Linked DNA regions of Macaca fascicularis. The protein of the gene in region 2 purifies or fractionates together with the protein of the main gene of each other region. This does not show direct contact. Links are inferred from orthologs where the notes say so. Each region holds a gene or a part of one and is shown on either strand. Other genes may lie near its edges.

Region 1 (5,865 bases), on a different chromosome or scaffold from region 2:
GATAGCGCCACTGCACTCCAGCCTGAGTGACAGAGCGAGACTCTATATCAAAAAAAAAAAAAAAAAAAAAAAAAGGTTGGGATGGATAGTGGTGATGGTTGCACACCAATGTGAAGGGACTTGCTTAAAACATTGAATGAAGGCCGGGCACCGTGGCTCAAGCCTGTAATCCCAGCACTTTGGGAGGCCGAGGCGGGCGGATCACAAGGTCAGGAGATCGAGACCACAGTGAAACCCCGTCTCTACTAAAAATACAAAAAATTAGCCGGGCGCGGTGGCGGGCGCCTGTAGTCCCAGCTACTCAGGAGGCTGAGGCAGGAGAATGGCGGGAACTCGGGAGGCGGAGCTTGCAGTGAGCCGAGATGGCGCCACTGCACTCCAGCCTGGGCAACAGCGTGAGACTCCGTCTCAAAAAAAAAAAAAAAAAAAAACATTGAATGAAACCATAATCCTGGCCAGGCACGGTGACTCTGGGATTACACCTGTAATCCCAGCACTTTGGGAGGTGCAGGTGGGACGATCACTTGAGCCCATGTCTCAACAACACTGTCTCTACCAAAAAATTTTAGCCAGGTGTGGTGGCACAGGCCTGTGGTCTCAGCTAAGAGGCTGAGGTGGGAGGATCACCTGATCCCAGGAATTTGAGGCTGTAGTGGGCTGTGATCCAGCCACTGCAGTCCAGGCTGGGCGACAGAATGGGGCCCAGTCTCAAAAATTACAAAATAAAAAAGTCACATTGTTCGCAAGATGTTTTCCCGCCTTTATCCCAGATGTGTGACCTCGAGCAAGAAAACCTTTCTGTACCCAACCGCCTCATCTATAAAATGGGGGTAATGACACCGAGGCCACAGAAGGCGACGGTGAAGTCGAGTTCCAATGCTTGATGTATACACATCCCAGGGTTTGCACTGCTGTTTGAGCCCCACGGGAGCAGGCGCTGCCTGCTAGCACCTTAGGTACCTGCATCTGACCCCCTGTTCCTGGTGCTAGCCCCGGCTATTGGCAGGGTTGGCTCCTTATCTCTCAGCTTAGACTTTCTCAGGCTGCCCAGACCAACTCGCGCTCTGTCCCTATCCCTCGGATCGCCCCCTTATTCACCTCCTGCGTCCTCGCAGAACTGAAGTCCTTAGAAGGCAGGGCCAACCCTGTTCCCTCCCAGGACCCGAGAATGTGGCAGGGTCCCCTGATGTGCTATGTCCACATGGACACCAAGGTCAGTTCTGGGCCGAAGCGGCCAGCGCAGGGGCTGACCGCTCGGACCTCACTCCTCCCAGGGGTGAGTGGGCGACGCTGCCTCAAGTCATTGTCCTGCCCTCCAAGGTTCGCGCTCGTCCTCTGGCAGGACGCCCTGGCCCCGCAGGACGGGGGTGGCCTCCCAGGTAGGGCTGCAGTCGCTAAGTCCGAGGCGGCTGGCTGACCTCACTGAGCCCGGCTGGACATGGGGCCACCGGTCGCCGCGGCCAGGGAACCACCAAAGAGTCAGGGCGAGCCTACCGCGAGCAGCCCCCGCTCGGGCCCACGTGCCGTTCCGCGTAGGCCGGCGGCGCAGGCCACTTCCAGCAGCGGTGCACCATGGGACTTGCAGTTCGCGGGCGAAGGTTGCGTCCGGGGCGTGGCAGCCGCGCTGCATGTTGGGCGCTGTAGGCGCCGCGTGGCATGCTGGGAGCGCTAGGTACCGAAGGCAGATGCCGTCCCTTTGGGCTCGCTTCGTCCGTCGCCACCACGAGTTTCGGGGGACCTTCGCCCCACGCTATAAGAGCAGCCACTTCCGGAACTACTGGCCTTCGCCTGTGCCGCGGAAACTGTCTTGACGGGGCCGGGGGCGAAGTGTCAATGGCTTCTCCTCCATCGTCATTGGCTGAGCGCCTCGTGACGCCATTCTGAGGCGCCTCATGCGGCGCCCCGCTCGGGTCCCGGAGGCTTCTGGGTAGCGGTTTACCCCCGCCCCTTGCATCGGCGCCTTCCTTTTCCTCCCTGACACCGCCGAGGTTGCACGCGTGAGGCCTCTCCGCCGCCGCCGCAGACGCCGCCGCGTGAGTGTGATGACCCGGCCCGGGGTGCGGGCTGGGGACGCGGGGTCCGCGGGCATGCGAGGTGGGCGGCGGGGTCTTTCCGGGACGGAGGCCTACTGGTCGAGCCACACGCGGCCTCGTCCGGCGGCCCCGGGGTGGGCAGGCCGGAGGCCACCGGGATAACACCGCCGTCGCGCCCTCTCCGCCCGCCTCAGAATGCGCTACGTCGCCTCCTACCTGCTGGCTGCCCTCGGGGGTAACTCCTCCCCCAGCGCCAAGGACATCAAGAAGATCTTGGACAGCGTGGGCATCGAGGCGGACGACGACCGACTCAACAAGGTAGCTGCCGCCCTTGCCCCGCAGCCGCCGTAGAGCGCCGTACAGGCGATTTTTCTGCCTGATCCGGCCACATGCTGGAGGGTTCGGGGAGAGGCTTGTTTCAGTCCAGTCGGCGATGTCTCGGGTAGAGAAGTAAGCAGGGTGGGGGCCAGGTGCACTGGTTCACGCCTGTAGTCCCAGTACTTTGGGAGGACGAGGCGAGCGGATCACCTGAGGTCAGGAGTTCGAAACCAGCCTGGCAAACATATGGAAGCCCCATCTCTACTAAAAATACAAAAATTAGCCGGGCGTGATGGTGGGTGCCTGTAGTCCCTGCTACTTGGGAGGCTGAGGCAGGAGAATTGCTTGAACCCGGGAGGTGGAGGTTGCACTGAGCCAAGATCGTGCCACTGCACTGCAGACTGGGCGACAGAAAGAGACCCTGTCTCAAAAGGAAAAAATAAAAAGCTGGAGGGGTACGAGGCAAAGTCGTGATTAATGAGCTTTGGAAGTTTAATACAAGTGAGATGCATAAGATTCCTTAAAAAACAAACAAAAAAGGCAGTCCTGGTGAGTGGCTCACCCAGCACTTTGGGAGGCCAAGGCGGGTGGATTATTGGAGCCTCGGAATTCAAGACTAGCCTGGAAAACATCATAAAACCTGGTCTCCAGAAAAAGTTGAAAAAAAAAAAAAGTTGTAGGCAGTGGTGCACATCTGTAGTCTCAGCTACTCAGGAGGCTGAGGCGGGAGGCTCATTTGAGCCTGGGAAGTCAAGGCTGCATGGAGTAGTGATTGTGCCACTGCAGTCCCACAGAGCCAAGCCCTGTCTCTAAAATACAATAAAAAAAATCAAGGCTGGGCGCGGTGGCTCAAGCCTGTAATCCCAGCACTTTGGGAGGCCGAGACGGGCGGATCACGAGGTCAGGAGATCGAGACCATCCTGGCTAACACAGTGAAACCCCGTCTCTACTAAAAAATACAAAAAATTAGCCGGGCGAGGTGGCGGGCGCCTATAGTCCCAGCTACTTGGGAGGCTGAGGCAGGAGAATAGCGTGAACCCGGGAGGCGGAGCTTGCAGTGAGCTGAGATCCCGCCACTGCACTCCAGCCTGGGCGGCAGAGCAAGACTCCGTCTCAAAAAAAAAAAAAAAAAAAAAAAAATCAGCCAGGTGTGTGTGCTCACACCTGTTGTCCCAGACTGAGGTGGGAGAGTCGCTTGAGCCCGGGAGGTCAAGGCTGCAGTGAGATCCCACCACTGCACTCCAGCCTGAAGTCAAAGTCAGTTTCATTGACAGCTTATTTTGCCCGTGTTGAAGATACCTGTGAGTAGTCAACATTAAGCGGTGAGACACCGTGTGTTCCCTTCTCAGTCCTAAGTCTAAGAAACCTAGTGTCCATTTATTTTTATATCACTTACCAAGCGAGGGTGGTGGCTCCCTTTGGGCAGTGCAGGTCTAGAAACTTCAGGGCGTATTCCTCTGTGGGGGACCCAGTCCTGCTGTGATTCTGGAAGGGATAGGGCCAGGGATACATTTGCACTTTCCTGGTAACAGCTGTGTGATTATCTGCTCCAGGTTATTAGTGAGCTGAATGGAAAAAACATTGAAGACGTCATTGCCCAGGGTGAGTTGATGTGGAGGGACTTTCATTTGTTTTCATGGTCCATCCTAATCCCTGCTGGTCCGTCTGTGGCCTGCCAGGTTTCGCTTGTGGACCAGAGCACCCTAGAAGCCTCACCTGAGGAGTGAGCAGGGCTCCAGTGGGCTCATGTCATGGGCGCTTCTAGACACTCCCAGGAGCAGGGCAGCAGGGGGCACCCTGTGTTCTCAGTGGACGTTTAGGTGGCCCTGCCTCTGAAGCTTGGTGTCTGGAGAACTGAGTTCATGTCAGCAGTTCTTACCGCATGCTTTCTGTGAAGGAGCTGGGGGCAGGGACTACGGGTGCCAGGGATGTTCACAGGCTTCTTGCCTCTTTGTTGGGCAGATGGTTTTTTGTTGGTGTCAGCTGAGCTGGTGGGAGTTGTTTGGAAGTTGAGCTGTTGGGGCAGCTGTTCCTGTCTTCCATGCATGTGACCAGGACAGGGCTGGCTCAGCAAACGGGCCAAGCCATGAGCACATGGCTGTGGCCAGAGATGTGGACACTGGAGCAGCATGCTCATTGTCCAGGCCGAGCATGGTGGCTCACACCTGTAATCCCACCACTTTGGGAGGCCGAGGCGGGCGGATCACAAGGTCAGGAGATGGAGACCATCTTGGCTAACACGGTGAAACGCCATCTCTACTGAAGATATGAAAAATTAGCTGGGCGAGGTGGCGGGCGCCTGTAGTCCCAGCTACTTGGCAGGCTGAGGCAGGAGAATGGCGTGAACCTGGAAGGTGGAGCTTGCAGTGAGCCGAGATTGCGCCACTGAACTCCAGCCTGGGCAACAGAGCAAGACTCTGTCTCAAAAAAAAAAAAACAACAACAAAAAACCATGTTTGTCCAACGGACATCTGAGGGTGGAGGTGGGGAAAGTGGGCAGGCAGGTAATGTGGGCCTAATTCCTAGAAGGCAAGTTTCTGGATAGGAAAAGTCCCTGTTGAGGAGTGGCTGGGGGAGGGAGTGTTCCGGAAGAACGGGAGACTTTGGCATATGGTGGGTCCATATATGTTGGGTGCCCTGTGCCATCCATGGTGCCATCTGACTTCCCTGTGGAACAGCTTCCCGGACTGGGCAGCTGCTCTGGTCTCACCTCTCTGCTTTCTGTAGGTATTGGCAAGCTTGCCAGTGTACCTGCCGGTGGGGCTGTGGCCGTCTCCGCTGCCCCAGGCTCTGCAGCACCTGCTGCTGGTTCCGCGCCTGCTGCAGGTAAGTGGTGGCCTAGTGAGTGGGCAAGGGGCTGGGGCTCAGACAGTGTTGCTGCAGTGGGGTCTCCATGGGGGGACTGGCCTGGCACTTGGGCAGTGCTCACCACGCCTCTCTTTTCCACAGCAGAGGAGAAGAAAGATGAGAAGAAGGAGGAGTCTGAAGAGTCAGACGATGACATGGGATTTGGCCTCTTTGATTAAATTCCTGCTACCCTGCAAATAAAGCCTTTTACACATACCTCAAGTATTCCATGAGCACTTTGTCAGACGGTAGTCGCTGCCCAGCTTCGCATCAAAGAGGGCAGGTTTGGGGCTGAAGTGTGGACAACATGGTGTTGGGGAAGAGTTTCTGGTGCAAAATGAGCATGAGGAGGGGAGTCTGGGCATCACAGCTGCCTGGGGCCCCTTCCTGTGGGCCTTAAGCGGTATCCTAGCTCCTAGTACACCCCAGAAAAATGTGAACGGGCCGGGCACAGTAGTTCGTGCCCATGATCCCTGCACTTTGGGAAGCCGAGGAGGGAGGATCACTTGAGGCCAGGAGTTTGAGACCAGCCTGGGCAAATAGCAAGATCCCATCTCTAAAAAACAAACTATCCAGGCGTGGTGTGCACCTGTAGTCCGTGCTATAAGTTGAGATGATCACTTGCCCAGGAGGTTGAAGTTAACAGTGGGCCATGATAGTGCCACTG
Region 2 (5,664 bases):
GTGACTCGAATTCGTGAACTGCCGCCTCCGCCTCCATGGGTGTTTTTCCGGTATCCTTAAAATCCATGGCTACTGCGCGGCTTCCTGACCCTCTGGTTCCTGGGCGAGAGCTAACAGCGGTGAGCCGGGAGCAGGAGCGTAAGGATTGGCGATCCGCAACACCTACGACGGCGTCTTTCTCAAAGAGCTATTTATATATATATTTTTTGAGACGGAGTCTAGCTCTGTCGCCCAGGTTGGAGTGCAGTAGAGCCATCTCGGCTCCCTGCCACCTCCGCCCCCCGGGTTCCAGCGATTCTCCTGCCTCAGCCTCCCGAGTAGCTGTAGCTGGGATTACAGGCGCGTGCCACCACGCCCAGAAAATTTTTGTATTTTTAGTAGAGACGGGGTTTCACTGTGTTGGCCAGGCTTGTCTCAATCTCCTGACCTCGTGATCCACCCGCCTCGGCCTCCCAAAGTGCTGGGATTACAAGCGTGAGCCACCAGGCCCGGCCACTATTTGTATTTTACACTTGATCTTGGCCAAAAGGCCAAGAAGCGATACTATTTATATTTTTATAATACTTATCCCCATCTAACATACTACATACTGCAATTATTTATTATATCTTTTGTTTAGTGTCTAATATCCTCCTCCACCTGCACCCCAGCAGAATGTAAGCTCCATAAGGACAACAATATTGATCTATTTTGTTGTCTGATGTAATCCGCTGTACGCCCTGGACAGAACCTGCTACAAAGTAGGAGCTCAGTAAGTATTTGAATGAATGCATCGTGGCACGGGAAGAACCCAGAAGAAAGGGGCGGCTGAAGCTGTGAAAGGAGCAAGTGGCCTGGCGCGGGGGCTCACGCCTGCAATCCCAGCACTTTGAGAGGCCAAGGCGGGCAGATCACTTGAGGTTAGAAATTCGAGACCAGCCTGGCCAACATGGCGAAACCCCATCTCTACTAAAAATACAAAAATTAGCCCAGCGTTGTGGTGGGCGCCTGTGGTCTCAGCTACTCTGAGGCTGAGACAGAGAACTGCTTGAACCCGGGAGACGGAGGTTGCAGCGAGCTGAGAGCGCGCCACTATACTCCAGCCTGGGCAAGAGCGAGACTCCGTCTCAAAAAAAAGAAAACAAAAAACAAAAAACAACTGTGTGTGTGTGTGGGGGGGGGGGGGGGGCGGGTCAATAAACAGAGCAATACTGTATATGTAAAATACAGAATGGTATGGTACCAAGAACACATAGATGGAATGATCTGTAGCACTTCTCAATTGTATTACATTGAACGAAACCGTTTGGAGCTGGTTCTCCCCCCTCCCCCACTGTCTTTGTTTCTTTGGGAACCCCCACACGGCACAAACCGTGTTTTAATTCCTATTCTCTAGTGTGCTGATAAGTGCCTGGCACGTATTAAGTTGTCAAAAGAGGTCGTGAGCAAGTTAACAAATCACTGCTTCCATGTCCCTAACTACTCTTAAGCTCCTGGAGAAGAGATTTCCTATCTCTTGCGCTTCTACTTCAACGCCCACTTCAGAGAGGGCTCAAAGTAACGTCGTGAACTTAATACGCAATAAGGCAGCGCCCAGAGGCGGAAGAGGCAGAGTTTTTAGCTCCGGCCACGTGACGAAGGTGGGCGGGGCGTCAAAGTTCATATCCCAGCGTCCTTTGAATCAACTTCCTTTTTTCTTTTTTCCGGCGTTCAAGATGTCGAAGCGAGGTGAGGTTTTGCTTCTGGAGGATCCTCCACCATCTGTCGTGCAGTGGCTGGCGGATTCGTCAGGAGCGGTGGCCCTAGGCAGCTGGGGCGCTTTGCTCTCCTTCAGGCCGGAGAGGGAGAGCCAGGCCATCGCAAGAGCACTGCCAGGGCCCTCGAAAGTGGCAGTGGGGTGCTGGAGAGTTGACATAGCAGGATCCCGACATGAATATAGTCTGGATCCCGCGAGATCGCTCTGCGAATAGGGCTATCGTATTGGGGTTGAAGTTAGACTGGATTAGGCCCTGGTTTGCGCGACCTCTGCGGTCTTATGCTTTGCAGGAGCAATTGCGTTTTGCGAAAGTTGGAACAAGGGCTGAGTCGTCTAGGTTCCTTAATTTCGATGTCAGAGTGGTAATAGTGAGAAATAGGCTACTTTCCGTGAGAATCGGGTGGCACACGGGGAGGGCATAAGTAAAATCCGAGCGAGCTAATCTATAGCATACCATCTGTCAAAGTATGTGCGGTGAATTACAGTTTAAGAGTATGAGAGGGAACTGCGAACCATGTCTAGATAGTGATCTCTTTATCCTGTTTACCTTCCCTTTATATCCACAGGACGTGGTGGGTCCTCTGGTGCGAAATTCCGGATTTCCTTGGGTCTTCCGGTAGGAGCTGTGATCAATTGTGCTGACAACACAGGTGAGGTCTTTGACTGCAGGTTTCTATACTCCCCCTTTTAAAAGCACTCAATGGGCCTGTGCCTAATGACCTATTGAGCCGTCAAGAAAGGGGAGAGTGAAAACATCGCTTTTGGGTGAAGTGGCAACATGTTGTGTTGTTTGCTTCAATCGGTGGTGTGACAAGGCGTTCTTGAGGACTAACTGCTTGGGCAGTCAGTGGAGGGAGGGACTTTGGAAGTGTTTGGGAAATGTAATACTGATGGAACGGCCTGATGGGCCCTCAACATTTTTCATTTTTATTTACATTGATTTGTAGGAGCCAAAAACCTGTATATCATCTCCGTGAAGGGGATCAAGGGACGGCTGAACAGACTTCCCGCTGCTGGTGTGGGTGACATGGTGATGGCCACAGTCAAGAAAGGCAAACCAGAGCTCAGAAAAAAGGGTGAGTAAACACTGAGCCCACCTTAACACTGATAAGTAGTGGGGGGACTCTTTCCTTTATTGGAAAATGGATCAGTTTTCAAGGCCTCAAGGTTGTTTTCCATTGAGAGGCAATGTGAGATAAGTATCTTAAGTTTTTGTTCATATTATGTTGGAGGGGGGACCATCATCTTGTCATTTCCATACTTTAGATTTATTTATTTATTTATTTTTTGAGATGGGGTCTCCCTCTGTCGCTCAGCCCACACTGGAGAGTGCAATGGCACGATCTTGGCTGACTGCAACCTCTCTGCCTCCTGGGTTCTCAAAAAAAAAAAAAAAAAAATTAGAAAATGAAAACGAGAAGCTGCTCATTATTTTATTTTTATTTATTTATTTTTGAGATGTAATCTCACTCTGTTGCCCAGGCTGCAGTGCAGTGGCACATATCTTTCTGTTCACTGCAACCTCCACTTCCCAGGCTCAAGTGATTGCCCTGCCTCAGCCTCCCGAGGAGCTGGGATCATAGGTGTGCGCCACCACACCCAGCTAATTGCTCATTACTTAATCTCAGGCTACCCCCTCATAAGTTTTCCTGTCAGCTGTATGATTTAAAGGGGGAGGCCTCAAAATACTTGCAGTTTGTGTCCTGTCCGGCTTTAGAACTTCTGGTATTTGATGCATTTTAACTTCAGCTCTTGCAGTTTTTTCCTGTGCCTGCCTAGTCTGTCTCTACCCTGGGATGTCTTGCTCTTCTAAAGAGTTCATGGCCATCCCTTGAGTTACAAATATGATGTTGATTTGTTAGCCATGTGTTACAGTTACTCCTATTCCTGTATCCACTCCACGATGCTCTCCAGTAGATTTTTAACCTTTGGGTTAGAAATCTTTTTTTGTTTACCATTAATAGCCACTTGAGGGCTTGGTAGCACTGTGCTTGTGATTCAGCAATTGCATGGGCTTTTTCCTCTTCTCAGAACACTTCCTGGGTCTGATTGGTGGCCCAGGGAGCTGTTAGAGAAGAGCAGAGCAAATGGCCATCACTTTGTAGATGAGATGGCAGGAGAGTGGATTGTTGGTCTCAGTCAGTGGTGGGACAGACCAGAGCTCAGAACACTTCAGTTTTAAAACGAGCTGTGAGTATCCAATTCTGTTAATGTCTTTTTTGGTCCTTGTTTCTGCTAAATGAATACATCCCCTCCCCTTGGAACTTAATAAATAACAAGCACAGAAATGTGCAAAAGGGCCAGGTCTATTTGTCTACTTGATGAATTTGTGAGCATTTAATGGTTTATAAGTAGAGGAGGGTCAGTAAGTATTGGCTGCCTCATGTGTGTCCCATTGCTAACTTGGTTAGACTTATCTATTTTTTGTATAGTCTTCCTGTCATTATAAAAATTCTGTGTAAGGACCCCACGCTAGTATCAGTGAAGATTTGAATCCAGGTGTGTCTGACTCTACAATAGTTCTTCACAAGCATTATATTTTACTGTGTAGTGATACTTGATTTTGAAAGTTGGGAAAAGCATCTTTTTCACTTTAGTACAGATGGGTGTAAAAGTTACTTATGACACTGGAAAGTAAAACTTTAAAAGTAAAACATAAAGCCTGGTGTTTGGGCCCTGGAATTCCAACTGTTTTCCAGTATAAATCTGAATAGCTTGGTCTCTGCTCATTGCCAGGACTGGGAGCAGTTGGGGGTCCCAGGTCCCATTTCTACATCCCAAGTCAGTGATACTGGGATCTTAATAACCCACCTGTGAGGTGAAGTTGGAAAAGGCATAGGCAAGGATAATTGTCCTCCTGAGAGTTTTACACTTGCGAGAAAATACTGGCAGCTTTGATTTTAAGATGTGAATAGATGGTTGTGGTTCATGCCTATACTCCCAGCACTTTGGGAGTAAAAAAAAAAATCTGGGCATGGTGGTGAGCACCTGTAGTCCAAGATACTGGAGAGGCTGAGGTGGGAGGATCACCTTAAAGACTGATTGATATTTATACTATCTCAAACACTGACAGTACATTCTGTCTAGCTGGCAACTGCTTTTGTGGTGGCGTTGCGACTTGACAGGTTAATGACTGCTGTCTTTTTTTCTTCTCTCAGTACATCCAGCAGTGGTCATTCGACAACGAAAGTCATACCGTAGAAAAGATGGCGTGTTTCTTTATTTTGAAGATAATGCAGGGGTCATAGTGAACAATAAAGGCGAGATGAAAGGTAGGAACTCAGTCTGGCTTGTTCCTTAGGTCTCTGAGGTTGGGTGGATTGTCTAGAAGTACAGGCCAAGGATCCTCTGTGTTTGATGATGTCTTAACCTGTCCCCCACATGTTTTTTGTTTTGTTTTGTTTTTTAATGCAGGTTCCGCCATTACAGGACCAGTAGCAAAGGAGTGTGCAGACTTGTGGCCCCGGATTGCATCCAATGCTGGCAGCATTGCATGATTCTCCAGTATATTTGTAAAAAATAAAAATTTTAAACCCATTAAAAAGTGTTTGCAGTGCTTGCCTCCCTGTTCACTTCTACGCCTTTTTTTTTTTTTTCCCCAGAGTCTCACTCTGTCACCGAGGCTGGAGTGCAGTGGTGAGATCTTGGCTCGCTGCAACCTCCACTTCCAGGGTTCAAGTAATTCTCCTGCCTCAGCCTCCCAAGTAGCTGGGATTACAGGCACCTGCCATCATGCCTGGCTAATTTTTGTATTTTTGGTGGAGATGGGGTTTCACCATGTTAGCCAAACTGGACTCAAACTCCTGATCTCAAGTGATCTGCCCATCCCGGCCTCTACAATCTTTTTGACATGACCTGACCCCTGACCGTTGCTTTTGTGAAATGGAAACACTGCGCTTTTTTTTTTTTTTTTAAAACAATCCTTGCTT

Evidence for each region. Proteins that work in one complex are often made in the same cells at the same time.
Region 1: the proteins of RPL23 (region 2) and RPLP2 fractionate together in Homo sapiens (co-fractionation; 4 studies listed by BioGRID). This does not show direct contact. The link is inferred for Macaca fascicularis from reciprocal best matches to the Homo sapiens genes RPL23 and RPLP2.

What each region holds. Positions count from the first base shown.
Region 1 is NC_088388.1:710,804-716,668, forward strand, and holds RPLP2 (large ribosomal subunit protein P2), read left to right. Parts: upstream 1-1,958; 5' UTR 1,959-2,033; intron 2,034-2,227; 5' UTR 2,228-2,228; coding exon 2,229-2,351; intron 2,352-3,904; coding exon 3,905-3,953; intron 3,954-3,988; exon of another isoform or gene 3,989-4,122; intron 4,123-5,078; coding exon 5,079-5,177; intron 5,178-5,300; coding exon 5,301-5,377; 3' UTR 5,378-5,414; downstream 5,415-5,865. UniProt on the Homo sapiens protein: Plays an important role in the elongation step of protein synthesis.
Region 2 is NC_088390.1:59,848,900-59,854,563, reverse strand, and holds RPL23 (large ribosomal subunit protein uL14), read left to right. Parts: upstream 1-1,667; 5' UTR 1,668-1,694; coding exon 1,695-1,707; intron 1,708-2,301; coding exon 2,302-2,385; intron 2,386-2,416; exon of another isoform or gene 2,417-2,551; intron 2,552-2,682; coding exon 2,683-2,811; intron 2,812-4,893; coding exon 4,894-5,007; intron 5,008-5,149; coding exon 5,150-5,232; 3' UTR 5,233-5,279; downstream 5,280-5,664.